Linked DNA regions of Astyanax mexicanus. The main gene of each other region encodes a partner of the protein of the gene in region 3 in a complex. Links are inferred from orthologs where the notes say so. Each region holds a gene or a part of one and is shown on either strand. Other genes may lie near its edges.

Evidence for each region.
Region 1: lamtor5 (region 3) and lamtor2 share a complex: the UniProt entries of both Homo sapiens proteins name them as parts of the ragulator complex. The link is inferred for Astyanax mexicanus from reciprocal best matches to the Homo sapiens genes LAMTOR5 and LAMTOR2.
Region 2: lamtor5 (region 3) and flcn share a complex: the UniProt entries of both Homo sapiens proteins name them as parts of the lysosomal folliculin complex. The link is inferred for Astyanax mexicanus from reciprocal best matches to the Homo sapiens genes LAMTOR5 and FLCN.
Region 4: lamtor5 (region 3) and fnip1 share a complex: the UniProt entries of both Homo sapiens proteins name them as parts of the lysosomal folliculin complex. The link is inferred for Astyanax mexicanus from reciprocal best matches to the Homo sapiens genes LAMTOR5 and FNIP1.

What each region holds. Positions count from the first base shown.
Region 1 is NC_064408.1:115,893,324-115,901,109, reverse strand, and holds the start of lamtor2 (ragulator complex protein LAMTOR2), read right to left. Parts: upstream 3,008-7,786; 5' UTR 2,894-3,007; coding exon 2,826-2,893; intron 1,111-2,825; coding exon 948-1,110; intron 1-947. UniProt on the Homo sapiens protein: As part of the Ragulator complex it is involved in amino acid sensing and activation of mTORC1, a signaling complex promoting cell growth in response to growth factors, energy levels, and amino acids.
Region 2 is NC_064413.1:8,017,522-8,025,225, forward strand, and holds the start of flcn (folliculin), read left to right. Parts: upstream 1-4,699; 5' UTR 4,700-5,173; intron 5,174-6,203; coding exon 6,204-6,407; intron 6,408-7,704. Other genes in the region: leng9 (leukocyte receptor cluster member 9), read right to left, coding at 2,580-2,634. UniProt on the Homo sapiens protein: Multi-functional protein, involved in both the cellular response to amino acid availability and in the regulation of glycolysis.
Region 3 is NC_064419.1:41,212,672-41,220,555, forward strand, and holds the start of lamtor5 (ragulator complex protein LAMTOR5), read left to right. Parts: upstream 1-4,883; 5' UTR 4,884-5,007; coding exon 5,008-5,042; intron 5,043-6,388; coding exon 6,389-6,450; intron 6,451-6,653; coding exon 6,654-6,771; intron 6,772-7,884. UniProt on the Homo sapiens protein: As part of the Ragulator complex it is involved in amino acid sensing and activation of mTORC1, a signaling complex promoting cell growth in response to growth factors, energy levels, and amino acids.
Region 4 is NC_064424.1:38,408,926-38,416,074, reverse strand, and holds the start of fnip1 (folliculin-interacting protein 1), read left to right. Parts: upstream 1-4,143; 5' UTR 4,144-4,266; coding exon 4,267-4,355; intron 4,356-7,149. UniProt on the Homo sapiens protein: Binding partner of the GTPase-activating protein FLCN: involved in the cellular response to amino acid availability by regulating the non-canonical mTORC1 signaling cascade controlling the MiT/TFE factors TFEB and TFE3.

The DNA.
Region 1 (7,786 bases), on a different chromosome or scaffold from region 3:
GTCATTTAGAGCATTTATTTATTTGCAGAAAATGAGAAATGGCTGAAATAACAAAAAAAAAGATGCAGAGCTTTCAGACCTCAAATAATGCAAAGAAAACAAGTTCATATTCATAAAGTTTTAAGAGTTCAGAAATCAATATTTGGTGGAATAACCCTGGTTTATAATCACAGTTTTCATGCATCTTGGCATGTTCTCCTCCACCAGTCTTACACACTGCTTTTGGATAACTTTATGCCTTTACTCCTGCTGCAACAACTCAAGCAGTTCAGTTTGGTTTGATGGCTTGTGATCATCCATCTTCCTCTTAATTATATTCTAGAGGTTTTCAATTAAGTGGTCTCTTTTTTTTTCCTGAGCTGTATGATGCATTACAATTTTTTGCCAATGTTTTGTTAACTGTCAGTATCAGCTTATACAATCAAATTTTTTATTTGGTAATTTAGTAGTCCAGTATGATCAATGAATAGAATCTGAATGGACCCCATCAGCAAAAGTTTGGCATGCTCAGCAATGGGTTATTAAGTTAAGTAGGAGGTGATCATTTGTGCAACTGCTATAAAATCATAACAATTAAATATTATTTAAACATTTTAAAAGGCAGTAGTGTATATAAGAAAAAAAGCTTTATTTGCTAAACAAAACTTTTCAAATATACTTCAAATATCATGTGACAGGAGTTTGTGAATTGATAATGAAGTGGGAATTCAGACACCTGTATAATTTGTGAGGTGTTACCTTGTGAGTTAGGATGACTACTGGTCAGCATGCTCATGGCAAGGCGCTTTGATAGTGGGTAGAGGAACTCCAGACTACATTAATTACACTTGAAATCTACAGAATAGATGTCTAAACAAACAAGCCACCCACAAACCGCAAGTATAAATAAATAGAAACTGTAAACATAGGACCGTAAGTTGATTTTTGATTTTTTTGACAGTTATTACCATACAGTCCATGAGAATAAACTTCAGCTTGTCCTCGTTGAAGGCTTGATGTCCGTTCTTATCATAGGCTGCCCAGATGTTGCTGGCAATAGCTGCAGTTACTCGCGCGTCTGTGTCTCCATAGCCAGAATAGGCCAGAAGTGACCCTTCATTATTTAGTAACCTAACACAGAAAGAAAGAAAGAAAGTGACATCGGAAAATTGGTTACAGCAAGCATCAAAACCAACACAACATCCGCTGTCCTGACAAGTTTTTGCCCAGTTAGAAGCCTAACAATGCAGTTTAGACCTTCATAAAGATACATTAATTCAAGGATTCAAGGAGATTTTATTGTCATTTGCATCACGTGGTACATGAGGTGGAACGAAATTGTGATCTCATGATCCAGTTTACACCCAAGAGCTGTTGTTAAAATAGATATATAGATAAAATAAGATAACAAAATAAAAAAAAAAACAATAAAAATAGAATATACCAAATAGTATGGAAGCCCATTCCCGCCACCTAAAAAAATAAAAAATAATCCAGCACATTTTTTTTATTATTATTAAGTAAACCGCTATATAGTAATAGTATCCATTGTGCGTCTTTGTCTCACCTGCCTCTGTCTCTGTACAGTATACTAGTATCTCAAAATATTGAGATAGTATATCAAAATAATGACTCAGTATCTCAAAAATAATGACTTATTATCTCAAAATATTGAGATAGTATTTCAAAATAATGACTTAGTATCAAAAAATATTGAGATAGTATGTCAAAATAATGACTTACTTTCTCAAAATAATGACTTGTGTCAAAATATCGAGATATTGCAGTTTACTTAATAATAATAATAAAAAAAATGCTGGATTTTTTTTTTTTTTAAGTGGCGGGAATGGGCTTCCATAAAATAAAGATAAAGATAAATACCCTAAAAAAAAGTAGACAATTAGCAGCAACAGTACATCCTACTACATTTTTTTATGTAGCATGATAACACAGCACTGCTACTGCAGAGTTCAGAACATTTCCTCTTTATACATTTTTGAATGTGGAATATGGAGCTACACTAACATTTACTTCCTCCATTAAAGCTCACTTTTAAACTTAGTAAGTCAGCACATACAAATAAAAAATAAAAAATACAGGGAAATACCTGCATTTAAAGTATTTGAATAATGATATGATTCATAATTAAATAACATTTTTTTTAACAAATGACACCTATTATATATAACTTAATTTAGAAAATATAATACTGATGTGATATTTACACAAAAAAAATATATATATATATTAAAAGCTTAGCCTTACGGAGAAAAAAAGTTTAAGTAATCGCAATTTATCACTATTATTAATAACATTTACTACAGCAACAGTTTCTACACATCTAGGGTGGCTTAAAACTTGATGTTATATCATATAAAAACTATTATTCGCAAATTTTGTTAAACAAAAGCTTTATTACTTTTTATACCTTAATACTTGACACTAGGTTGACCATTTAATTCCCATTTAATTTATATTATCTTTACTAAAGCAAAACAGTGATGTGAATGTCTTAAATTACTTTATTTGTTGTATAAAAACAACCTTTAGTACATTAACTGGTTTATACTTAACTAGGTTAGATAGGTTAGCTAGCTAGCTATGCTAAGAAGATAAATTAATCAGAAACAGAAGCGCTGCTTACTTAACACTGACACTATCATATCGATTGAAGCAGATTTAACACGTAAACAAACATTAAACCACATTAATAAACTGATTTCACTGTGTTTCTATATATTTATCTCACTCTGAACCTATACTAGCTAATGAAGCTAACGAGTTAGCTTAGCAACCTTAGCCACAATATTTCCACATCTGCGGTAAACGGAGCGGATAATACTCACAGCGTGCTCTGGACTCCGTTAGTGTTGGCCTGGCTGAGCACCTGAGTTAAAGCTTTAGGTCTTAACATGATCAGAAAACCCAGTAAATCCCTCAAAATACTACAGAAACCAGGACTTTTACAGCAGCCAGCATTAACTTACACACACACACACATCAGCTGACTAACACACTTCCGCAACACAGGCACGAGGGGGATTGTGGGAAATGTAGTCTTGGGCCCAATAAGCGTAGATAGTTTATTCATACAATTATATACTTAAACTAACGAGTACAAAAAGGTTTTTTTTTTTTTTAATGAGCATATATAGTTAAGTATGCACCTTGATAAGTAAACTAAATGAGTATAAACAGTTTGTTTTTAGCTTAATAAGTACAGATTGTTCATTTATGCACCTTTATAATTAAGATATTTCATTTATGCATCTTTATAATTAAACTAAAGAGTATAAACAGTTTGTTTTTGGCTAAATGAGTATAGATCAATCATTTATGCGTCTTCATAATTAAAGTAAAGAGAACAAACTGTTTATTTTTTATAAAATGAGCATAGCTAGTTCATTTATGTGTCTTTATAATTCAACTAAAGAGTACAAACAGTTTGTTTTTGGCTAAATGAGTATAGATTGATCATTTATGCACCTTTATAATTAAACTAAAGATTTCAAACGATTTATTTTTGATAAAATGATCATAGGTAGTTAATTGATGCACCTTTATAATTTCACTGAAGAGTTTAAGGAGTTTGTTTTTTATAAAATGAGCATGGATAGTTTACTTCCGTGCCTTTATAAATAAACTAAAGATTTCAAACTGTTTATTTTTTATAAAATGAGCATAGGTAGTTCATTTATGCATCTTTATAATTAAACTATAGAAACAGTTTGTTTTTGATAAAATGATCATAGGTAGTTAATTTATGCAGCTTTATCATCAAACTAAAGAGAATACACAGTTTGTTTTTGATACAAAAAAGAGTATAGACAGTTCATTTATGCATCTTTATAATAAAACTAAATATAAAAAGGTTGTTTTTATTGAAATGATAAAAGATATGTAGATGAAAATAGCTGATCATAAATATTGTATATACAATGCTGTAAAAAAGTATTAGTCCCCATACAGATTTATGTTTTTTTGTGCTTTTTTTTATTATACTTACATTTTCAAACTAAGTTTAATATCAGACAAAGATAGCATGAATAAACATAAAAAGTACAATGTTTTCTCCATTTGTGAATTATAGCTCTCACTGTGGTCCTTTTCCAGACTGATAGATGATCAATGGCTTTGCAATTTTTGGAAAATTTAAGTACATAGTATTGTAAATGTAGTGATAATTATAAGTATGACAAAAAAGCAAAAACAACAGAAATCTGTAAGGGGCAAATATTTTTCACAGCACTGTAGTAGGGGATATAAGCATGTCCTACTGTAAAGCTATATTCTTGGTTTTCCTTTTAAATGTCTCATATCCATTACTTTACTTGTGTTTAATTTTTTTCTGTACTGTGCCATTAGGACTGACACACTGCTGATGTCATGGAAAAAAAATAATTTCTGTTGTTTGGACCAAGAGAAATTCTCCAAAATCATTTTGAATTTAATAAAATCTTTTTACTTTGACTTCCATTAAAGTCCTGTAAATATCCTGAAGGAAACATTCCTTCAGTGTGAAACACTTGAAAATTGGTTGTTTTTAAGACCGTTTAATGGTTGTGCCAAAGGTACCTTAGTCTACCTCGCCTAGCTTAATGTTGCGTGTACAGTGTCTCTTCGGTGTCAAACAATAGAGAAATAATGCAGGTTTTTTTCTTTTTTGCCAACCTTTTGGCCAAGCAATTGCGTGGTTTGCGTGGTGGTAAAATCCGCCCCTTATTATGGGCCCTATTTTAGCGATCTACAGGTGAGCCTCAACCATGCACCGCACAGCTTAATTGAGGGCATGCCAGTGTGTTTTTGCTATCATAACATTAGAAAAAGTATGACATGTACTAATTCTCTTAAATTGATTAAGAGCAGGTGTCACTTGCCTTTCCCTTTAAGAGTCAGGTGCACTATTTCAAGGGTGCATCTCTTCTGCGCATCTCTTTAGAGGAAACTGACCTGCTCATTTACGCTGTGAAGGTAAGCCAGCAATTTAACAGGAAAATCAATTATATTTTTTTTCTTGATTTTGTTTATTGTTGATGTAAAGGTTGGGTTTGTGCACTGCAGCTGTGTGTAACAAATAGTGTATGTGTGCTGAGCACACAGAATGCACCCAGAGTTGCTAAGATAGGTATGGACGTCTGACTGGTGACTGTTGACAGGGTTTAAATCAGTCAGTGGAGCACCTGTGTTTGCCACTGCCAAGATAGCAATACACCAGATATTTACCTGAACACACCTCACTTCCAGACCACCACGCCCATTGCCGTAGATATATTCTTAAACTCTGTTGCTATTTTAGTGACACAGGCTGAAAAAAAGACTGTTGACGGGTTGTAAGATAGCAATTAGCATCACTACGCACTTTACACAGAGTGTAAGATAGAGCCCTATATGTTATATGTAACTAATGACTTCTTGACGTGAGTCACAAGACAACTGTTGAACAAACTGGGATTCAAAATTAGGGTGGATTAGGGTGTAATTTCAGAGACATGTACTAGTGCTCACACATTAACGCATTAATTCTAATTTAAAAGCAACTACCAGTAGTCGTAAGCCCAAGGAAATTAAACGCTAGAAGCTATTTAAACTAATGTACGTTTCTCTAAGCAGTTTTGGTGGCTTGTGCTGACATTTTATTCAGCTATTCTAATTATTGGTTATTCTATGTTCAATATAAAAAAATACTTATTTGAGGGACAATTCTGATATTTAATCTTATATATTATGTTTTGTAATACTAGGATACATGTCACAAGTCATGTGACAGTAGTATGTTAATGGATCAAGTGTTACCTCTGGGAATTTTGGAACTTGTGAATGCCCACATATGTATAAGTTGTGAGGTGTTATCTTGTGAGTGGGGTTGAATGTTAGGTAAAGTGAATTATGGGAATTGGAGGGAGGACTGATAGTGGGAGCAGATGGATGAGATATTTACCATTCCTTGATCTACAGTGTAGCAGGAATACATCATAAGCAGTAATTACCACCCCCAGTGGACAGAAAATTGCAGTGGGTGGTAATGCTGGTGTCCAGCAGCATCTGGCTTGAACTGTCTGTGTGAACAGTTAAGCAACTGTGGCATAAATCAATCACACCCATTTCAATACAGTATGCATATTAAATGCAGTGTCCTTTAGCCTCAATTAAACATTGCAAAAGTCATGGGACACAATACCAGTTCCATGACATTTGGCATGACTGCGTATACTGTACTTAAGCACTGCATCCTCAACCTCACTTGCTTGACAGGCTGCAAATGCCTGAGTTTGTATCCTTGTCATGTTTGAATGTTCTCTCACACTGCAGTACCCACAATGCATCAAACAAATACTCATATGGTCTATAAATAAAAATATGAGTGCATCTCAAATAATCTAAATATCATTCATATAGATATATATATATCACACAGAGTGATCTATTTTAAGCGTTTATTTATTTTATTGTTGTTGATTATGGCTTACGGTCAATGAAAATCACAAATCAGTTTCTCAGAAAATTAGAATATTATATAAAACAAATTGGTACTTTTGGCTGTGTACATAGTGTGCCAAGTCCTGCTGGAAAATGAAATCTACATCTCCATGAAAGTTAAGGTCAGCAGAGGGAAGCATGAAGTGCTGTAAGATTTTGTGGGAAAACAAACTTTAGACTTGATAATAAAACACAGTGGATCAACACCAGCAGATGACATGTCTCTCCAAACATCACTGATTATCAGTAAATTTTACATTTCATTTGTAAATCAAGGGATCAGAGGCTGGAGGAAGAGTGGAGAGACACACAGTCCAAGCTGATTGAGGTCTAGTGTGAAGTTTCTACAATCAGTGATGGTTTGGAGAGACATGTCATCTGCTGGTGTTGATCCACTGTGTTTTATTATCAAGTCTAAAGTCTGTGCAGTTTTGTTTTCCCACAAAATCTTACAGCACTTAATGCTTCCCTCTGCATCTGACAACTTTTATGGAGATGTGGATTTCATTCTCCAGCAGGACTTTGCACACTGCCCACACTGCCAAAAGTACCAACTGGTCTTATATAATATTAAAATTTTCTGAGACACTGATTTTTGGGTTTTCATTGACTGTAAACCATAATCATCAACAATTAAAGAAATAAACACCTAAAATAGATCACTCTGTTTGTAATACATCTATATAATATAGGAGTTTCACTTTTTGAACTGAATTACTGACAAAGTAACTTATCTGGATTGGATTCTGATCAGACATTAGCCACATGTAGTTAAACTCAGTAGTTGTGTGTCTCTGGTTAGTCAAACTGAAATCTGATTGCTGTTGTGGCGTAGAATTGGCAAATTTGCTTGTTACATAGCAGTTATTACTGGTGTTCCAGTTAAACTGGGAGGGATTTTGGTTGTTAAATGCATCTTGTAGTAATGGATGCCTTTACAGTGCTATAGTAAATTGTTAATATGCTTTGTCACATCCTGAACAGGTTTGATTTACTGGATTTGTATGAGTTAAGTGTCTTGAGTGCATTTTTATGTAGCTTGGCCTGATCCAGATGCAATTATGAGATTGTCACAATACCCAAAGGGGAATAAAGCCAGATGTAAATGTGGTTAGCATAATTTTGGGTCCATAAAGAACCGTGTTGGTAATAAAGGTGTGAACACCTAAACAAAAAACTGTTCTTCACACTTTAATACTGGTTATTTTGATGGCATTGCTGCTGAAATCTGAGTTTTGTTTTTAAATACGTAAAACTATAGATACTATGAAAGTGTCAGTGAGTTAAAGTTGTAACCTCGTGCTCATGAACTCATTCAACTGGCTTCTGG
Region 2 (7,704 bases), on a different chromosome or scaffold from region 3:
ACATATTAAAACCACTTTTTTGTAATAGACCACTGAAGTCGTGCGTCATTCTGTGACTTCAGGCCTCCGTGTCTAAGCGTTTTTTTCTCTATGAGGTAAATGAATGAGCTTTTTAAAAAACTGTTCTCTATCACATTCTGTGGTAAATTAAATATGTTCAGAACCCTGTACGTTTTATTCTGTGTAAATTTTCTTCCTGAACAACACTGGGTCCTCTGATTTTCAAGATTGTTTAAGAGTTGTAATCAGAAAAATGCTAGCTTTAAGCTAATGCTACAGTGCAGCTGCAAAGATCGGCAGGGGACTTTTTTCAGCACAACACCAGAGAACTCTGGCCATAAGTTTACATCATATTAAACTTAGCTGATCCAACTAATGAACTAACTGCCCTCACTGAAGAGAGCTGAGAGTGTTACAGCAGGAAATCACTAAAACAGGACAGTGATACTCCAGGAGCCAGCTTTAAACACTGTAGCATGTTTTAACATTTACTCTCTTTATTATGCAGTGAAATAAATAAAAAATGTTTGGTGTTTCTGTCTCGTTGGTTTAGTACCTTAAGCCAAGTTAAGGTTTGTCCATATAATAGGATTCAGTGAAAAAACACATATTAAGGTTTTTTATCTTAAGTATTTTAGACTCTTTGGTTTCTTAGATAGTTAGCTAGCTCTGTGGTTTTGGAGTAACTCTCTCCTGCTAGTTTTCCTGCTTTATCACTCAGCTCGCCTCAGCCAGCAGATAGGTAGTTGATTAGTTGATTAGTTATTTGTTGGTTGATTATTTGGGTCATGTGTTGTAATTAGTATAAAGTAATGACCCTAATTAAATACTAAACCCGCTGGGAAGCGCTACTCCTGAACTGAGAGCCACTCTCTCTTAGTATCTGCCTTTTAAAGCTCTAACACAGACTACACTGCTCAACGTCACTATACTGAAAGAGTTTCACCTCTCTAAACGCTTTAATGATCCTCTGTGAAGAAGAAGAATAATCCAAAACACGATCCAGCCGGAGTTCGCTGGTGTACTGCAGAATCGAGTCCCCTAGCATTCACTGCTGCTGTGCTGTGACGTCAGTTAAGTATTAGCTTAAAGCTAGCATTTTTCTTATTACTACTCTTAAATAATCTTGAAATTCAGAGGATCCAGTGATGTTCAGGAGAAAAAATGTACATAGAATAAAACATACAGGGTTCTGAACATATTTATTTGCCACATAATGTGACAAGAGGCCAATTTTTGAAAAGCCCATACATTTTTTCCATTTAACAGAAATTCTTAGACACAGAACCCTAAATATGGGAAAAAACAACATGGTGCCGACTAAAAAATTACGACACAACTTCAGTGGTCTATAATAAAACACATTTGTAGACACAGTGTGAATCACAGCACAGAAGTATTGGGTGTGTCTGAAAGTGGAATTATACTGTCTGTGAGTTTTTAATCCCAGCTTTAACCTTCACTCCTTTTTCAGCCCACCCCAGAATCTGTAAAAGCACTGAAAGAACTGAGCTTCACATTCAGAAACGACTTCAGTAGAGTTTACCTATTTAACTTTATGATACAAGGTGAGGACATACCTATCTGACCTTTGAACTCTTGACAGTTCATGAAATGGTAATGGCGCACACAAACACACGTGTAATATTCTTAATACTCATTATCAAACCTATGTTGCTCTGTTAATATTACTAAAAGCCCCTGGTAACATTGTTAAATACTAAATGTGTGTGTTTTGAGAAGCATATAGTAAAGTTAAAATAGAAAACACAAAGCAAGAATATGACAAAACACTCCCCACAAATCACCAAAACGCACTCCTCTCTTCACACCTCTCTTCAGAGACCGGTGTGGGTGTGGCAAACAAATGTTTGTTTACATTACCATGGCAACACTCTACCTCAAGATAGAATCTGCATCCAGAACTGCTCCCCATTAAAAAAATAGTGCAATATATGAAACTTATTCTGTGTAACAGGGGTAACTTTTGGTCTTTCTTTCCTTGGAAGGTTCCGATGAGAGCCAGTTTCATCACTATCAAAATGTAGCGTACAGACAAGGTATGCTTGAATTTCCCATGTATACCATAACAAAATGGGGGGGTGTTTTAAGTGACAGAATGAAAAAAAGTTTCACACAAACTTTGTTGCTTTTTTATGAAGCAGTGTTTCTGAGCGTAGTGTCCGCTCAAAGTCATTTGGCCATCTCCTAGTGAGTTCAATATGTAGCAAATGCTAGTGAATGATTTTATTTTTTTGCTTAAACGGTTGCTAAGCGACAGCTCACAAACTCACAGATTCTGGTTGCTCAGACTCGAAGAGAGGGGGCAAGGCTATGTTAGTAACCTTGTGATTGGTCAGGTTTTTTGCTGATGCCAGCCTGACCCACTTTCAGACAAGCCGACTCCACATCCAGGGTAGAGTATTAATATTGTGTCTACTACTACTACTACTACTACTACAACAACAACTCATAATAATGGCATATCTAGTAACTGGTCCTTGAGCCAAAAGGTCAGTGCTCAACAGCATACATACAGGGTGATATTGTGAGGGTTTGTATAGGTTGTAAAGAAAGACCTATTTGGGTGTGTGGATCTTCTATGAGGGGATTCCCTGGTCCTTCTTCTTCCATGACAGATGGTGTAATCTGGGAAACCACGGGGATGTCCACCTCAGAGGCCAGAGCTGATCTAGGTTCAAATAAAGGCCTGTTATTCCTGACAGTTCCTAAAACAGGAACTGGAAATAGTCTAAACACACTTCAGGGTGTTACATAAGGAGGAAGAGATTAAAACTGAACCCAAAAAGACAAACACGACTAAACTTTCAATAGGAAAGTAACGTTAGGTAAAAAACATCCAAATAGAAGCACAGATGATTATTCATTGACAGTAAAGCAGTCATATAATAAAGGACGGTAAGGTAAAAGGTCTAAACTGAGTTCCTTGTTTGAACTCTCAGGTCCACCTTAAACGCAGAAGCAGATACGTACCAACGCCTGGAGACCCACTGTGCAACTGCTGGAGCATTTAAGGTGGAACGGACAATTCCAACGAGAACTTTAGCTTCATTTAAGGGTGAAAACACTACTAAACGTACTGACCTCGACTATATAACATATACAACGTTGTTATTAACTTAAAACAACAACCAAAAACAATAGTTGCCGTTAGAATTCGGTGCGGATTCGCTTACCTTAAAAACCGACTCTTACAAAAGCTGTCTAAATGCATACATAAAAGTCCCTTATAAAAATAAATAAAAAAATAAATAAAAACAATATTTCACGTACTTTAAAATGTTTTATATACGACCATTAACAAAAGTTACACCGGTGTAAACATCTAGAATCAACAAATATATAAGTTAGAGCATAAATATTTAACTAAATAAAAATAGAGTTAACGCTAGCTAACTAGGTTAAGGTAACGTAATGTTGCTGGTGGTATACGCTATATATAGTTATATATGTTTACAAAAATAAGTAAAATACTGGTAACACTTTACAATAAGGGTACATCAATAAACAGCACCTTATGAGAGTGATAAACATTGTTAAATGTTTTAGTAATGTCACAACTAACTAGCTATTAAATGAGTTTCTTGTTCAATTTTCACTTCCACCTTAAAAGCAGCAGCGGATACAGCAAGGGATATGTACCAACTCCTGGAGACCCAACGTGTAACGGCTGAAGCATTTAAGGTGGGACGGACAATTCCAAAAGAAGCTAACTTTTACACAAACTTCGACTATATAACCTATATATTAAAATATTAAGCAAAAATAACACCAAAAACAGTTATAGTTAACGTTACCATTCGGTGTGGATTTGCTCACCTTAAACACCGAGCCGGTAACCAGGGAGTTTGATGATTGCTAGTGTGAGCGTGTAAGTGTGTGTGTATTAGATCCAGGGGAATATTTCACAATGACATCATCTGACGGGATACCTGACACGTGTTTTAGCTGAAACTGTACAGAGAGGAGAACTCCCACTCGAGAATGTGTTCCAGGTTTGCTGGTCTACCAGAGGGCGCTCCAGAGTGAGTTTAAAATAAATGAATGTAGCAAAATTATACTTTATTAATGCTTAATAATTTTTCATACTGAAAATTGTAAGTTACTTATTTTCTCAACTCAGAACAATATTACATGTTTTATTCCTACACACATATTTTCTTAAGCTTTTAAACTCCATTTACAGTGGTATGAAAACCTTTGGGCACCCCTGATCATTTTTATGATTTTTCTTTAGAAATCTTTGGTTGTTAGGATCAGCAATTTCAGTTAAACATATCATATAGCAGACGAACACAGTGACAACTGTGAAGTGAAATGAAGTTTATAGGATTTACAGAAAGTGTAATATATTCCCGAGTGAAATGAAGGTTTAATAATTTACTGATTCCACAGTAGTATTTTTAAGTGTGATTTCTTAGAAAACAGAGTGTAATAAAACAGGGAGGTTAAGATACTTTTATTTGCTAGCTAACATGTTTTTTATTTTTTTTACTGGATTTATGATAACTAAAATAACTAAAATCTGTCAAATTAGCAAGCGTATTTTAAAAGATATTTTTAAAAAGTATAAAAAAACACACTAGCGCCATAATGAAATTTTACTACACAGAGTCCTACCTGAGCTTTTCTTTGTGCTGCTGTAATCAGTTCTAAAACGAATTAATTTTGTTTAAATAATAATAGTTTACAAGAGGGCTTTTATTTTGAAGGGAGAGTCATTTCACGGACCTGCAGCTGTTCGCTTTGTTATGGAGGAAGCGCGTGACTGCTCGTCACGTGACAGAGGGGTCTGAAGATGGAGTAATGGAGAGTTTATTGTGAATTTGGGGGAATTATTAACGTTATAAATCTGCGGGGACGGCCTGAAAGCGGGCAGAATGCAGTAACATGTGGTCGTACTGTGATTTATCACCTGTGAGAGCATTACCTGTGGTGATTCTGCTGTTATAGTTTTTATTTATTGGGTGAATTAACGCTGATTAACTCACTCTTGAGTTCTGTTACCTGATTTACATCCTAATAATCACAGTTTAATTAATAAGTCTGCTCATCAGAGAGGCGATTAAACGCGTTATTACTGATAAACAGAGCGCAGGAATAGAGGAGCCTCCTGTTCAGAAGTCTGGGTGTTACAGAAACAGTAAATAAGGTACGTAAACATGATTTACACTTTGTTACCTACTACATACAGTAACTTGTGCTTCTACTCAGTGGCCACTTTATTAGAAACGCCTACTACAGTACCTTGTGCGTCACCTCAGTGTGGCCACTTTATTAAAAAACCTACTACATACAGTACCTTGTGTTTCTCCTTAGTGGCCACTTTATTAGAAACACCTACTACAGTACCTTGTGTTTCTCCTCAGTGGCCACTTTATTAGAAACACCTACTACAGTACCTTGTGTTTCTCCTCAGTGGCCACTTTATTAGAAACACCTACTACAGTACCGTGTGCTTCCACTCAGTGGCCACTATATTACAAACACCTACTACAGTACTGTGTGCTTCTATTCAGTGGCCACTTTATTAGAAACACCTCCTACTGTACCTTCTTTTTTTTACTTTTTGTGTCCACTTTATTAGAAACACCTACTACAGTACCTTGTGTTTCCATTTTTTGAGGCCACTTTATTAGAAACACCTACTACAGTACCTTGTGTTTCCACTTTTTGTGGCCACTTTATTAGAAACACCTACTACAGTACCTTGTGTTTCCACTCAGTGTGGCCACTTTATTAGAAACACCTACTACAGTACCTTGTGTTTCCACTTTTTGTGACCACTTTATTAGAAACGCCTACTACAGTACCTTGTGCGTCACCTCAGTGTGGCCACTTTATTAGAAACGCCTACTACAGTACCTTGTGCGTCACCTCAGTGGCCACTATATTAGAAACACCTCCCACTGTACCTTCTTTTTTTTCTTTTTTTTTAAACTTTTTGTGTCCACTTTATTAGAAACATCTTCCACAGAACTTTGTGCTTCCACTCACTCTGGCCACTTTATTAGAAACACCTACTACAGTACCTTGTGCTTCTCCTCAGTGTCCACTTTATTTAAAAAAAAAAACCTACTATTTGCTTCCACTCTGTGGCCACTTTATTGGAAACCCATAAAATGTAATTCTACGGACTGGGCCATTTTAGAACCACCACGTTGTTTATTGTTTATCCCCAGATGAATGCTTTGGTTGCTCTTTGCCATTTCTGTGAACTGCACGGGCCCCGGACCCTGTTCTGCACCGAGGCCGTCCATCCACCAGCCCCCTCGCCCCCTCAGCCGGGGTCCGCCCTGCTGGGCGATCGGGAGGCAGAGAGAGAGGGAGAGGGGCTGACCATGAGGGCCAACAGCTCTGCCACACAGAGAGCCGACATGTGTGAGGTGAGAGAGGCTGTGAAGTAGTTTATATACACTTGCGTGGCCAAAGGTTGGTGGATAATTGCTCATCTAAAGTTTAGATATCAAAACCAAGAGTAATGAATGAGTTCAAGGCTCCGTACTAACTAGTGAGGGGACAATCCACCTTTTTGAGCTCTGATCCGATTCCGATATAAAACTGATATAAAACTGCCGATACAGATACAAATACAGATAAAAGGGCTCTTTTAGTTTATTATTAGTACTATGATTAAGGTTACATAATAATGCTGAAACAGACCACACAGCCAATTGAAGTGTATACACAAGTGCATTTAATGTAAAGTCATTTATTTCACGCACTTTATATACAAACACACAATAGTTTTCTTTCAAATTAAATATTTAAATTTTTATCAAATATAAAAAAAAAGTTCAATATGAAATGTGTTAAATATTAAATACATGGCTCTAGACTAATCTTTTTTGCACTGGTCGCGCAGGACTCTTTTATTTTCGCACGTAGCGTAGTGGATTAGCTGCAATGGCTGCAATAAATTAACTAAATTAATGGCTGTTTTTAATAACAGATGGGTGTGTTTGTGCTGGTTAGTGTTTGTAGATCCTGTGGTTTAATGGGATATCTGGATTATGACTACAGTTTACAGTCTGTAGTTAATACCTTTACAACACCAGAATGCAGCTGTCAGTGCAATGTTAGCTAGGCTAACAGACTGCAGATGTTAATGGAGATGGCTAACGGCTAACCAGCGATGCTAACTGTATTTCCGAACTAAATTAATCACTGTTTTTAACAGCAGATGTGTGTGTGTGTTTGTGCTGGTTAGTGTTTGTAGATCCTGTGGTTTTATAGGATATGTAGATTACGTCTATAGTTTACTCCAGTAGTTAATATCTTTACAACACCAGAATGCAGTTGTCAGTTTAATGCTAGCTAGGCTAACAGACTGCTGGTGTTAAACTCTCCAGATTTTTTTAAAGACAAACAGCTAAAGCTGCTAGAGGTTCAGGGTAAACTGTTAAACTGGAATCCGGATCAGTGATGCGTTTAGTGTTTATGTTACTGCTGGTTTATTGTTCAGCTCAAGCTGCGGACTGTAGTATGTATCGGTAAGTGGATAGACCGCGGTCACCCGATATCTGACACCCTGATTACATCAATATTGGCCCCGATATTGTATGTTAACTCACAATAGCACATTAAAAACCAGGAGAAGTAGAAGTAAATTTACAGAATATATTAATAAACACATTGGGTTTAATTTACTTTATTGTTTTGTATTATTTGTTCTTTAATTTC
Region 3 (7,884 bases):
TTCAGTCACCCTCTAAAGGATCGAGATGAGCAGTTACACTTTCTATTACAGTACTCAAAAGTTTTACAGGCTCATTAGATTCTCTTAGGCCCAATCGCAATTCACCCCTTGGCCCTACCACTAACCTCATCCCTCTGTTTTGGGGTCGGCCATTAAGTTTGGCCACGGGACAGATATTTTCCAAGCCATTATGTGGCGGGCCACAAGCGGAGGGGGGGGGGGATGTTGGGGTTAGTATATGGGGGATAATATGAAGTTTAATAGGATGGGGTGCTACTAGTAGCTCTCCAGCCCAGAGGGTTGTTAAACCCAATTGCAGAACAGCTCATCTCAAAGTAGGTAAACACAATAAATAAATAAATAAACACACCGCTCCTCACGCGAGTTTGAACCCAAGTCATCTCGGTCACGGTCCAATACACTACTGCTGTCCCAGCTAGTGAATTGGGACACAGCTAGGAAAAAAAATGTGATAAGGACATAGGGAGCGGAAACAGGCGGAAACTAAAGTCAAGCCGTGCACGACAGAGAGAGAGACAGGGGAGGAATGTAAACAAAAGCTCGCCAGAGAAGCATTTTATTTATTTATTTTTTTTTCATTATCGTTCATTACAGTTCAGACAACCTCACGGGCCATATGTTTCATGCTTGCGGTCCACATCTCACCCTCAGTGTGTAGTCATTTCCCCATGGCCTCCTCCGTAGGTAAACTTGTAGATTATACAATATATTATTAGCAACTATCTGCTCTCAATGCTGTAGGCTGTAAAACCGATCATGAAAAGCAATTAATACAAGAAATAAAGCATACATCAAATGAACTTACAATTTAGGCATAATAACTTGACATTTCGAATCTAATTAAGAACATAAAAACTAACCAGTTTCCTCAAATTGTTTAAGTAAAGTAAACAGGTTCAAATCAACTATCTATAAACATATAGCAATATTTATTTATTTATCTATTTATTTATTTATTTATTTATTTAGGTCCGCCCCCACCCCCCTCTTTGGAGGACAAATTAAGCTTTATTAGCTTTAATAAACAATTACATTAGAGAGATAGTAATATAAGCAAAATAACAAGCAAAAGAAGGCAGGAGAACAAGAGAGCAGAACAGGTACAATATATATAGGCGGGAGAGAAAACAGAGAAAAGGGATAGAGAAAGAGATGGAATCTGTGCCCAATTGGTGTGTATGTGTGTGTATAGTAACATTCAGGTAGAGGTGCTGGATGTATGGAATAGTTGCCATTATGGTTGTGTTAGTGGTGTATTGGTGGTCTGTGTGTAAGAGCTGATGACATCATGCAAAAGGTTGTTCACTACTGACCATGTCTTCATGTGTTCTTAAATTCTGTTTTTGGTAGATGCTAATATTTTAGCAGTTAGCAATCCTAGCAACTGATCATATGTTTTTCATCTACACTTTACACACACAGTGTGTGTGGAGCTCAGATCTGCCTACGGCTGCTTAAAAAACACAGTCTCACACGCAGAGCTCTTCAGTGAGGATAACGGGATTGGTCTGATTGTGACTCATGGCGAATTAAAGCCTTATTACACACGACATATAATTATGTTTATTAAACATATTCATCATGAATAGAATATAAAGAGTTGGATGTATCGGGACAGGGCTCTGCAGAAGATGTTCAGAGAACAGCATTCTCTGCTCGAACTGATTTGATTTTGGTGCCTGGAAATAGAGAGAGTAGTTACATTCTCTACTCACATTTCCTATTTGCATAAATATTGAGTTCATAAATAAACTCGATTCAAATGCGATTGACTCCTGGCTCACTAGCCTGCAAGTAACGAGAGGAAACAGGAAGCTTGTGAAATGAGAAGCGGCATTTCTTATTGATCGGAAACGGACGACATAAAACCTGGCCTTGCGTTAATCCCTCCGGCTACTTTAGCCGAGCAGAGCTCAGTGTATAACAGGACTAAATATACTGAAGTTTTTATCACAATACTACATTTTTGTCCTCCATAACTTTTACAAAATGACTTTTGATATATTCTTGTTCTGTTTTGTTTCACCTTTGGTCTGTTCTCTATGCTCATCTGTTCATGTGTAGCTCCGCCCCCTTGTTACTCACCCCAAGGTGTTTCCTGTCCCCATCCATGTGTATAAATAGACCCCTTTGTTTCAGTAACTTACAATTTGGATAAAATAACTTGACATTTTGAGTTTAATTAACCATATTAGTCTCTATATACTCAAAGTACAATAGTATGCATTCATAAAGCATTATAAAGTGGACTATAAATATTTATAGAAATGTATAACACTTTACAGCCATGTTTATTATGCATTATGAATTGTGATTATGATGCATCATCAGCTGTGCTTATAAGATGTTATATGTCAATACCCAGAACCGAAACATAGCTCCTTTAACAAAGCATGCTATAATTAACCACTTTTAACCACTCATATTAACTTATATTACTTTATAATGTGTTATAATGTGTCGTTGTACACTTTAAGTAAAGTGAAAAATGTCCAAAAAGGGGATATACTGAATATGCTGTATTAATAGCAAGAGAAATGTAACATTTTAACCCCGATGCATAACATACTACAAGCTTATTACAGGTTATGATGCATTATGATCTCAGTTCATAATTAAGCAATAATACATGAGAGGGAGTGATATAACATGTAATAAAATAACTTTAATATGAAAAAAATTGCGATTATACCACAGTTTCATTATCACAGTTTATTGAAAGATTAAAGAAGACGAGAAGCGCTGCATTGTTGCTAGGTTACCTGTACTGTATGTGGCATATTAATACATGGAGAGCTTTGGTTACAGTGCATTACCGGCTGATAGCGGCACTCATAGAACGCCTCTCAGCCAATCACATTGTAGGGTCGGAACTAACTGTGGTATAATGCATAATAAACATGGCTGTATATGATTTTTTAATATATAAATATTTAAAGCCATGTTTATAATGCTTTACGAATGTACTATTGTGTGTTATCAGAATGTTTAAATAGTCTAATAGACACAACATTTATAGAAAGTTAGAAATTAATAAAAAGTAATTAACAAATTGTGTTATATTGTGTTATTTAAGCACTTAAAAAAAATCCAGATGACACTGCAGACACACATATGGCAAGATTAACATTCCTCTGTATTTGTACTAATGTGTTCATTCATAAATCTTGAAAAATGTATTGTTATACAGAGTTTATATGAAATTTAAACAACTATACTGCCCATAATATAGATTATGACCCCCTGGAACATCTACTGAACAAGCAGTCAGGAAGCTCAAATCCACAGCGGGGGTCTTTTCAGAATAAAAGAATAAGAAAGAGATTGATAAGAAACTCCTTTAGGGTTCACAAAGAGGAAATCCATTCATGTCTTTTCAGCCTGAGCTGAGCTGTCTCCATTGTTAGAATCAATTCTTGGTAGAAAAAAAATGTCAGCAAACATAAAAGACAAAGTTTTGCCGTGTCATTGTCACAGGAGGGACAAATCAGCAGTGATTTTTGATGATAACACATACCCTTTTAAGAGTGAGTGGAGGAAAGAATTGCTCTTTTCTTGGAGCTTTAGTCAGAGACGAGGGTTCATCTGATATCCACATTCACACTGAACACCCCCGGCCCCCGGAGACCCCACCAACAATAGCGGCTAAATGTGAGCTGAGAGTCAAAAGCTGCTTGCAGGGTGAAAAGGGGAACATGCTGGTGGTCTGCTTGTTTTCAGAGCTCTGGAGAAGCTGTTAATATTCTGTAATATTGAGGCTGTACATACTGAACCCAGAAATTAATCTCACAAAGGGATGATGCAAAATAACAGAGATAGGTCATTATCTTGTCAGATCAAATGACATTAGTGAAGGGTGGCAACTAGCCAATCAATCAATCAACTTTATTTTTATCTTTATCTCTGCACTGTAAACCCATACGTTGTTTGAACTCAAATGATTTAAGTCTGTTTTACATAAAATTGGATATTTCTAAACAATACTCAACTATTTTGAGTTAGTTGAACATTTGTAGGCACAAATATACAACATTCAAACTGAGATGAACCAACTTATAATAACTGAGTTTAGTCTGTCGCCATTAACAGCTTCTTTTCCATTGGCTTCTGTTACAATCTATTTGCATACTGGGTGTGTCCAACAGTTTCTGACTGACACTCACCATCAGTGTGTAGTGATTCCCCCTGGGCTACCTTAGAAATAAATCAAGTTCTCCTTTAGTTGTAATGACTTGATATTTAAATTTATGCTAACTCAAGTTTTCATTCCCCATTATTAAAAAAAAATGAGCAAACCGGCTGCCTTAAAAACGTTAAGTAAACTCAACTTATCTGGTCTTAGAGTATAAAAGAAATAAAAAAGTTAAATCAACTTCCCCTTTAGTTGTAATAACTTGATGTTCTAAGTTATGCTAACTTAAGTTTTCATTCCCCATTACTTAACGATTTTAAGGCAACCGTTTTTTTCTTTTCAATATACAGCTGAGCATTAACAACTTAACCTATTCAGACATGAATTATGTTCCATTGATGGGAAAATATAAGAATGCTATAATAATAATAATAATAATAATAATAATAATAATAATAATAATAATAATAATAATAATAATAATAATAATAATAATAATAATTAAACATATTTACTTTATTATTATATATAATAAAGTACATATATACTTTATTATTGTTTAATGATTGAGGGTCTTATCTTATTTTTATTGTATATCTTTTTATAAAATTATATATTATGCTTGTTTTAGATTCACTGCTGTTAAAGTAGCGCTAGATGGCGCCACTCCATTACACGCAGCGCTCCGGTGCGCGTGTTTGATCCTCACAGCTTTCCGTAGCAGACTGATCACGTGCACACAGGGTCAGCTGATTAGGGTGTATACAGTGTACAACAGTAGTTAGCCTGTTAGCGGCTCAATTCCCCTCTGATTCTCTTTAATATTGCAATCTGCAATATTTATTATTATAGTTATGGAGGCAACGCTGGAGCAGCACCTGGACGACACGTGAGCTCCATTATTATTCAGCAGCGGCTTTTATACAGCGCTGAGCGGACCCGCGCTGTTTATACAGTTACCCTTAACTAACTTAGCTTAACTGGCCTTACCCAACTCTGACTTCTTGTGTTAATGGTCTGGGAGCGTATCTTATAACCCATTTAACCCCTAATTTTACCATTAAACCCCTATTTTTATCATTGAACCCCTAATTTTACCATTTAAGCCCTAATTTTACCATTAAACCCCTATTTTTATCATTGAACCCCTAATTTTACCATTTAACCCCTAATTTTATCATTTAACCCATAATTTTTATCATTTAACCCATAATTGTATCATTTAACACCTAATTTTATCGTTTAACCCCTAATTTTATAATTTAACCCATAATTTTACCCTTAATCCCTAATTTTACAATTTAATTCCTAATGGAATCCCTACATTCTTTACTGCGACTAGCCTTACCTGAGTCTGACTGGGTGTGTTTATGGTCTGGGAGTGTATCTTTAACCCTTTTTTTATAATTTAACCCCTAATTTGATCATTTAACCTCTAATTTTTTATCATTTAACCCCTAAGGTTAGGCATACTGATATGACATATGCCTTCTATACAGTCAGCAAATTATTTATCTAGCTAGTGCTTGTTGTCACTCTTTTTAAAAATAAATCAAATAATAATCCCATATCATGGGATGCTTGGTATATGTGTAAAGTAATTAAATAATATATTTTTCTGCGTATGCTTAACTCTATCTACTTTATCTATAATTTCAGAATAATTTGAGTACAAGTACACGTTGTTTGATTGTGCTTCTTCAGTACTGTGATATACGTGTATATTTTTCAAAATGTAATTTTTTTCCCCCTTTCCTTAAAAAAAAACAAGTAGCCAATTTGTAGAAGTTTACATACACCAGCTGTTCTTAAACTGTGGTACTCAAATCGTCCCAAAGTGGTACCTTACGTAAGGTAGTAAGCACTGTAGTTCATTTCTTGGCTCTCATGTTTTTCTCAGTAGGAATACTGTATAATTCAGAAACAATTATCAATCAAATAACTTACCATGCTAAATTACAGACTGCAAAAGCAGGCAAGCTCCACACATATATAGGTTGTATATATAGTATACTAAAATCTTATTTAAAAAAAGCACACTCCTTGTTTAATCTCTGTAGAGAAGAATTGAATCTTTGGAACAGATAAACATGATCCTATCGGTACCATGCATAATGGAGTTGATGGGGTTATGGCTGATTGGTGTTGTTATTTGATTCTTGTTGTTTAGTACATTTTCCCACTGTTATAAATGCCTGTTATGAATGTCTGTTATCTGTTTATTTATTTCGTCAGAATGAAAAGTCCTTCAATCGTTGGGGTTTTGTGTACAGATGCCCAGGGTCATAATCTCGGATGTAAGTATTGGTTATCATTTAGTATAATACAAATAAATACAGTAGAAATATTATTAATCAGCTTAGTCCTGGATTGTCAAAAAAGCCAACTTGATATCTGTTTCAGTGTTTTGCAATTATTTTGACAGTTTTGTGTTAAAATAAATAAATAAAATAAAAAGAAAAACAGTATGTTTTTGACTAGTTGTGTGGTGTTTCTGCAGGCCGCGGCACCCTGTCTGATGAGCACGGTGGGGTTGTATCTGTCCTGGCGAAACAGGCTGCCTCTCTTACTAAAGACCCTACAGACTCTCCCACCGTGTGCCTCGAGTCTGACTCTGGGTAAGAGAACTCATATTCTCACTTATACAGTGTATTACTTTAACATGACTATGCCAGTTCTTTAGGTACACCAACAGATAGCATGCTGATAACAAACAGTCTGTTAAAAGCCTGTTATGAACTGAAATGACTGGATGACGTTTGTAACAGGATAGTAATCCAAAACATTCCTCAGATCTACCATAGAGTACCAGAATAGAGACACACTAAAGCTTGTGGATGTTCCTGCAGATGCCAAAACCTTTGCATGTTTTATTGAACGTTATGAACGACATAAACAATTCAATAAAACAGTTTGTTCAGTGCATAAACACTGTTAATATTTTAAGTCCTCTTAACTCCCTACCTGATTCAGTACACCATTACTGTGTGCATAAATTTCCACTAATTTCATAACAAGATTTTAGGAGCAATAGAAAATTACACTGAACTGCTAAAACTAATGGGACAGCAATATGTAAATTGGTTTAAAAGAAATTCATCAGGGGAGGGCTTGTTTAAGCTGTGAGGTGTTATCTAGTAAGTTAGGGTGTACACTATTCAGTGTGCTCATAGCAAGACACTAGAGAGACACTAGACAACTAGGGTTTGGAGGTGGAGGAAGTCAAGTCGAAGAGTCTCCACCTGCAGCAGAACTACAGCAGATCTTGTGATGTGGCTCTTAGAAAGAATAAAAGTACAACTTCCTCTAATATTATAACATTAAACTGCATGAATATCAGCTGGAATAACAGCTTATATATATATATATATATATATATATATATATATATATATATAAGAGGAAATTAAATATTTATTTTTTAAATCTACCTGGCCTATCTAATATTTAAATGGTAGTATTTATTAATATAAATATATATTAATTTAGGTCTGCATTTTCCCCTTTTATAACAACAAAAAAAATATTAATAACTGTAATTCTGATAAACCAAGCTTCTTGTTTGCAGTTTTTAAAACAAAGAAACAGTTTTACAAAGAATTTAGAGAGAAGATTATCACTATCATTAATAGTGTGCATTATTTGGTTACAGAGAGATTTTTTATTGTATGTTTATATTTTTAGAATAAATAGAAACAGCGTCACAGGTGTGTGAGGGGGGTATCAACCCA
Region 4 (7,149 bases), on a different chromosome or scaffold from region 3:
ATGTATTCCGGTGTCTTTGTCCTACCTGTACATTCACCTTGATTCAGACATATACTTATTGTTTATAAAAATATTAATTATTAATAAAATGTTAAGATTAGAAATGTTTCTCAACAAAAACTATGCATTTAAGTAGCTGGTAACTGAGTAATCCTTTTCTGTTTAATGTGTTTGGACATGTTTGGTCTGTGACTGTACATCTAACCTAATCAGCTGTTATTTGTTTTTTCCTTTGTGAACTCTGGCACAGCTGTAAGTCAGGTTTTATTTAAAAGAGAGAATTTCCTAAATTAGAGACTTTAATGTATAATAGAAGAAAAGAAATAAAGCTGTTGTAAAGTCTCATTGCCTGTATTTGTTTATTAACAAGAGGTCAAGAGGATTTTATTGTCATTACAACTAAGTACAGGTACATAATGTAATAAAATTACGTTCCTCCGGAACCATGGTGCAACATGGAAGAACAATACAATAGACAACATATAGTGCAGAAGTGTAACGAAAATCTATAACACTACAATAAATACAGTAAATACAACAGATGAGACAATTTAACAGACAGGACAGTGCAGTACCGTATATGGTACAATGAAATGTGATAGAGTGGTAGAATAAGGTGCAGAGATATGTAACATATAGAACATACATGATCACAGCACTTACTGAGGTAGTGAGTTTATAGATTTTTTGGTAAGAAGAAAGTATTGCTGTTTTTTGAGAGTGTTTGTAGAGTGAGGTTTGTAGGGTGGGTTCAGTACAGTCTTTGTGTTTGTGAAGAGTGGTTGGGGGGTTTAATTCAGTTCTGTGTGAGTGTGTTGGGTGTGTGGTGGGGATTTCAGCTCCGTCTCTGTGTTGAGGAGTTTGACTGCCTGGTGGATGAAGCTGTTGCAGAGTCTGGTAGTGGAGGCTCAGATGCTCTGGACGACATCAGAGCAAAGAGTCCGTGTGAGTGATGGTTGGGGTCATCCACAATGCTGGATACTTTGCAGTGTCTGTGATGGAGGGGAGAGAGACTCTGATGATCTTCTCAGCTGTCCTTGCTGTCCACTGGTCTGAAGTCCTCCTCTCTGCTACTGTAATCAGCAGTGTTGTGTATGATCGCATTCATATTTGTTGTGAAGACTAAACTTAACGACTACGTTTACAAATACTGAACGTGCCACTGAATGCGCAGCAAATCCAGAGCCATTCTTATAACAGAAATTGACTGCAAACTGGTATGGGGAGCCCACGAAAGAGTCAGTCCAATATTAATGGGAGTAAATGGGCTTAAACGGCCAACTCAAATAAAAAATGGTAAATATCCACTTTGCCAGAGTATTCCTTGAATTTTGAAAGTATAATAATGTATATTTTTTTAACAAGGAAATAAAACACCTTTATATTTCAGTTTTACTACAGTAAATGGGTTTTAGACAGTAAAGAAGCTGCATTACTGATACTGTCAACATTTGATATTGATGTGTGGTGAGAAAACAAGTATAATTTAATTTAAAAAAAAAAAACGCTTGGTATAGGATAATATATTTATTTTGGGAGTAGTGAAGATCTTGGGCTTGTGATGGAAGTGTAGAAACAGGTTCTGTTAAAAAAGAATAGCAGCCTATTTATTAAGAGAAAACAAATAAACGTGAACTAGTACATTTTTAAATGAACTTGTTCATTTAAATTAGTGTGAACTGAACTTTGAACTTGTTTATTTTAAATGTGATCTGGCACAACACTGGTAACCAGAGCTCCATTCCAACCACTGTCCTGGCCCGTCTGATTAACTGGCCTTCATTTCTTAATTTTTGCCATAATATAGATTAGAATACTACTTAAATATGCCTATTTACTAACTATATACCAAATCTACCTCTACTTTAAGAAAGACGCAGAAGTTTAAATTGGGTACAAAACTGCCTGTTTTTCTTCATAGTTTGGAAGATTTTAGAAAAAGTAAAAGAATGAAATTTAAGGTGTCCAAACTTTTATTAGTTAAATAAGAGATTTTGTCAATATCACAATAACAGTTGTGACCAATAATTACTCATTATAATAGTTATTATTATATATATTATATATAATTATTATTATTATTATTATTATTATTTATAATTACCATTATATTATTTTGGTTTGTCCAATATTTTATAGAAAAGCTTCTACAAGATGTTAAAGGTTTGAGATTGTTTGAGGGTTTCTCGGCTAAAACCCAGCTGAAGAGCATCTGCTCACCTAGAGAAAATAAACCCTCACAGCATAAAGGGATTTTAGAAGAAAAGTTGATCTTTATCTGAACTACTTACCAGGATTTAACCCAGTCATAGTAAAAAACTATATAATATATAATAAAGAGTAAAAATTCTACCAAAAAGTTTCTAATACTGCAGTAAAAATAATGAACTGCCGCGTTTCTTAGTTTGACCGGATTTTTTTTATCATGCGCTTCTGAGCAGCAATAGGTGAACTGGAGTTTGGCCAAAGCTTATTTATAGAAAGAATGTCCACTTTCTGTCTCCCAGTTATAGCAGAAAATTACTGTTAAACACTAGAGAGAGTCCGCGAGAGAGTCATTAATTGGAATGAATAAGGCTAAACGGCTAAAAACACAATTACAAATAGTAACTTACTGCTTGCTTGGGATATTCATTTAATTTAGACCCAAGTGTTTCCCTAGAAATCCAAGAAATCTTACCTGTCTATTTTAGTTTCATTTTGGTAAACGGGTTTAAGTCGCTGTATTACTGCTACTGTGAGCTGATTGACTGACTGACTGACTGGAATGAGCTGATGCTGCAGGTACAGCCAGAGCAGCTTAGAGAAAAAAAGGTTGTAAAAAAATATATTGCCTGCAGTGCTGAAAATGTTTTATACATTTCTGTGTCGAGTGTATTGAAATGACTAATTATAAGTGTTAAGTATAAAAAAAATTAAATATTCATAATTTATCATTTTGCTCAGCTGCTCCATAGATATCTTATACGTATATGTATATGCCTGTGAGCTGCTCAATATAACCCCCATATGAATTCTCTCCAGAGCGCCCTCTGGTGTCAGACAAACCCGGAAGAAATTATCAAGTGGGTTTTCGCCCCTCTATACGCTCTCTGGTTTTATGCTGCTTTAACACAACTTGGTAAATATGTATTAGAAGCGGTCTGATACAAGAACAGTTCAGTCCAGACTCATTATGTTCCACTAACGAGATCCAGCTCATCAGTTCCCGCTCACTAAAGCCCGGCTTCAGGAATCCAGGCAGCTTCCATCTGCTACATACAAGCTGAATAAATTAAATATGAGTATTTACTGTATTATAATGGGGTATACTGCGTAATGTTTATAAAGAACAAGAAACGTTAACACATTTAATTAATATGATTTAAGTTGGAGTAAACCAACATTATTTATTATGAAAATATTAGTTCAGTAAGGTGCAACTAACAGCTTAGTAGTTTCTGTATAAAAGGTATAGATAAAAATATGCTTCTTAAAATACAAGAAATAATAGTATACAAAGTATAATTGAAAATGATATAGGTAAAAATTATAATACATGAATAAATATATCAGTGTCAGCCCCAGTGTCACTTTTAAAACCTAATTCTAATTCTTCATTTCCCATTCTGTATAGAGAGAAATAATAGGTTTTCATCCATTTTTCATCTATGTCCTTCACAAACATAAGTATATGAAAAATATTGTTTCTTCTTTACTTGATTATCTTTTTTTTTGCATCTTGTAACAATTGTAGGTTGGATTGTACCACCAGATCTGTGTTACAAAATGCAAGAATTGACCATTTAGAGTCCTGATTGTGAGAGGCAGAAGTGAAGAACAAGAAATTGGGAAACTGCATAGAGAATCCATTTTACATTCACTATACTAAATGGAAAAAATAAACAATTTATACCTAGGCTTTATAAGTTTTTATACACCATTTTTTGTTTTCAAATTTAGCCTTAGATGGTCAGAAAACTGACCTTATAATCACTGACCGTGTATGCGCATTAATCTCATAAACACGATTATAATGACAATTCCTACTGGAAGGAGCATAACCCCAAACCCCAAGCCTCCGGCCTGACCACGTGGTGTCTCTCCGGAAATAGCAGCCAATCAGCGCGGAGAAGCGGGCGGTGTCGTTTCTGAGCTGCTCGTGTGAGTAATGCGAGTCATATGACCAGGCCGCGGAGCAAGTGGGTCTCGCGGAGCGCGGTGTGCGCGAGGTCGGGTCGGTAAACGCGCTGTTTGTGTGTGAATGCGGGGAGCCGCGGCTCCGCCATGCCGCCCACGCTCTTCCAGAAACTCTTCAACAAGCGGGGCCCGCTCTCTCCGCCGCCCCGGAGCAGCACGGAGGACCCCGCGCTCAGGTACGGATCCCCGCCCGCCCGCCCGCGGATCCTCGAGCTAATCTATAGCACTGGAGTTTAGGTAACACCGCTTACTGTGTGGTAAATGACCCAAATTGTCATCAGTGAAGCGGTTTATTTGTGAGTCGGATTGTATTTAATCTGTGTGTGTGTGTGTGTGTGTGTGTGTGTGTGTGTGTGTGTGTGCGCGCGCGCGTGCGTGCGTGTGTGTGTGCGTGTGTGTTAGCCGTTAGCTGAGTGGCTAGCTGTCATGCTAGCGAGTTGTCTCCTGCGTCTTGTGTGCTGTTGTCAGTGTTGGGAAGGTTACTTTTAAAATGTAATCCCTTACAGGTTACTGATTACATCACTCAAAATGTAATTTGTAACGTAATCAGTTACATTACTTCAAGTGAGTAACGTAATCTGATTACTTTGGATTACTTACAATATTGTCATTTTTTTAAGCCTGAATGAATGTAGCAACCACATCTTGCATATTATTGTTTTATTTTTCCTTCCAGTTAATAGATAGACAAATAAAACAGCCTTTTCAATCACCCTATAAAAATACTTATGAAACCATTTAATCAAACAATTTTATAAAACACTTCTATAAATTGATGATAAAATCATTAAAAACCAAACAATGTAACAACAACTGTAAGCTAACTATTTGCAGGTTTGCCACTTTCTGCAGGTGGATTTTTTGCCAGGATTATCTAGGGGTGTAAATCACAAGATTCATTACAATACGATACAATACGATTATTTTAGTCAGCGATACGATAATGTACGATACCTCAAATTGTCTTTATACGATACAATTCGGTCCAATAGGATTTAATGCGATTACAATCTGTTCCTTTTCTAAGAACTCACAAATGCAAACAAAATATAATTTGAATGTTTTATTATTAAATGTCAAATGCAGTGTAATCATAAACAGTAAACAATAATTCACTTCAACACTTTAATTTCCATTATTTAAGTTCCATTTGAGAACATCAAATGCAGAAGAAAAAAAAAAGCGCCTGTTATATTTAGAGTTTACAATGTGTGTATGGATGTTGATGATGAATAGTCAATCATTCTCTACATTTCCTGATTCAGTAGGGTCTTGACAAACAAGTTACAAAATTTGTAATTTATATCACAATGCATTGAAGAGTTACACTGCATTATATTAGGTGTCCACCAGGCGTCTCCAAAGTGTTCAAAACCTCTCCAGTAAATCTGTCTCTATACAGCCAGAGTTTGTAATATTTTTGTTTGTTTGTGATAAAATAAATGAATGTAAGTCTATTTCAGAGTAATATTAATACTTTTTGATGAAATGACAAACAAAATCACACGTATGCGCGCTGTGGGCGCACTTATGTTTAGCAGAGGGAATTTGGTGACAGCGGTTAGGCATGCCCCTCCCCCAGCCATTAGGAGACCAATCAGGACAAATTACGTACCAATGTTTTCGTCTAAGGGTGGACTATTGGTTGAAATAGGTGTCAATCACTTTTGTGACGCTAGAGAAAGGCTATGACCTGATTTGACTGGATTGGATTGATCCAGCGCTCACGTTATTGGTTCAAAAGACGATCACTCAAGAAAAATAGTGGTTTGTGGACCAATAAAAAACACAGAATCTAGAAGAGGACATCCTTAGCTTTGTATTCACGTACAACTTTACGTGAAAATATTACATTGTGTGGTCGCTAGGAGCTTGAGAATATTACGTTTCAGCTGCGCTGAAAATAAACGCATGTTTGTGAGGAGAAGTGAGCAGGTGAATAAAGGACTTTATGGATATTTTATCTGCGATTCAGTGCTGTATTGTGGATGCTGTGATAGTAAGTGAATTTTCTATAATGTAATATGATGTTATTTTATATACTAATAATATTTTATAAGGCTATTTTGTTGGGGAGGCGTGTTCCCCATGTAAACAATGTGAAAAAAAACAGGCTTTTTTTTTCAGTTGGCGATTTCTGGCGACTGGTTTCATGTAGATGGTTGTAAATTTGCATGCAGGTAGTTAAATTAGTAGTTACTAAAGAATATGAGTCGGTTATTTGGTCGGTGTGTTTAGAATATTTGATGCTTATAAGCATTCTACTTTACATAGTCAGAACGGGCCCGCCGATGGGCTAGGGGGCGCTTCTGCAGTGAAAACATTCTGAGCAGGAGGTTGTGAATCATAGAATATTTTGATGACGTGATTTATGTGAATGTGATTGCGTTTTGTCAGTGTTGGATTGGAAGACGATTGTAACGGATTACAGTTACTCATAATTTGTAATCTGATTACGTAACGCCGTTACACGTAATCCGTTACTTCCCAACACTGGCTGTTGTCGCGCAGAGACTGGTGTAGTTATCTGCTGTAGGACAGTATTAAAGTCTGGTGTAGTTATCTGCTGTAGGACAGTAGCGGAGTCTGGTGTAGTTATCTGCTGTAGGACAGTAGTAAAGTCTGGTGTAGTTATCTGCTGTAGGACAGTAGCGGAGTCTGGTGTAGTTATCTGCTGTAGGACAGTAGTGGAGTCTGGTGTAGTTATCTGCTGTAGGACAGTAGTGGAGTCTGGTGTAGTTATCTGCTGTAGGACAGTTGCGGAGTCTGGTGTAGTTATCTGCTGTAGGACAGTTGCGGAGTCTGGTGTAGTTATCTGCTGTAGGACAGTAGCGGAGTCTGGTGTAGTTATCTGCTGTAGGACAGTAGCTGAGTCTGGTGTAGTTATCTGCTGTAGGACAGTAGTGGAGTCTGGTGTAATTATCTGCTGTAGGACAGTAGCGGAATCTGGTGTAGTTATCTGCTGTAGGA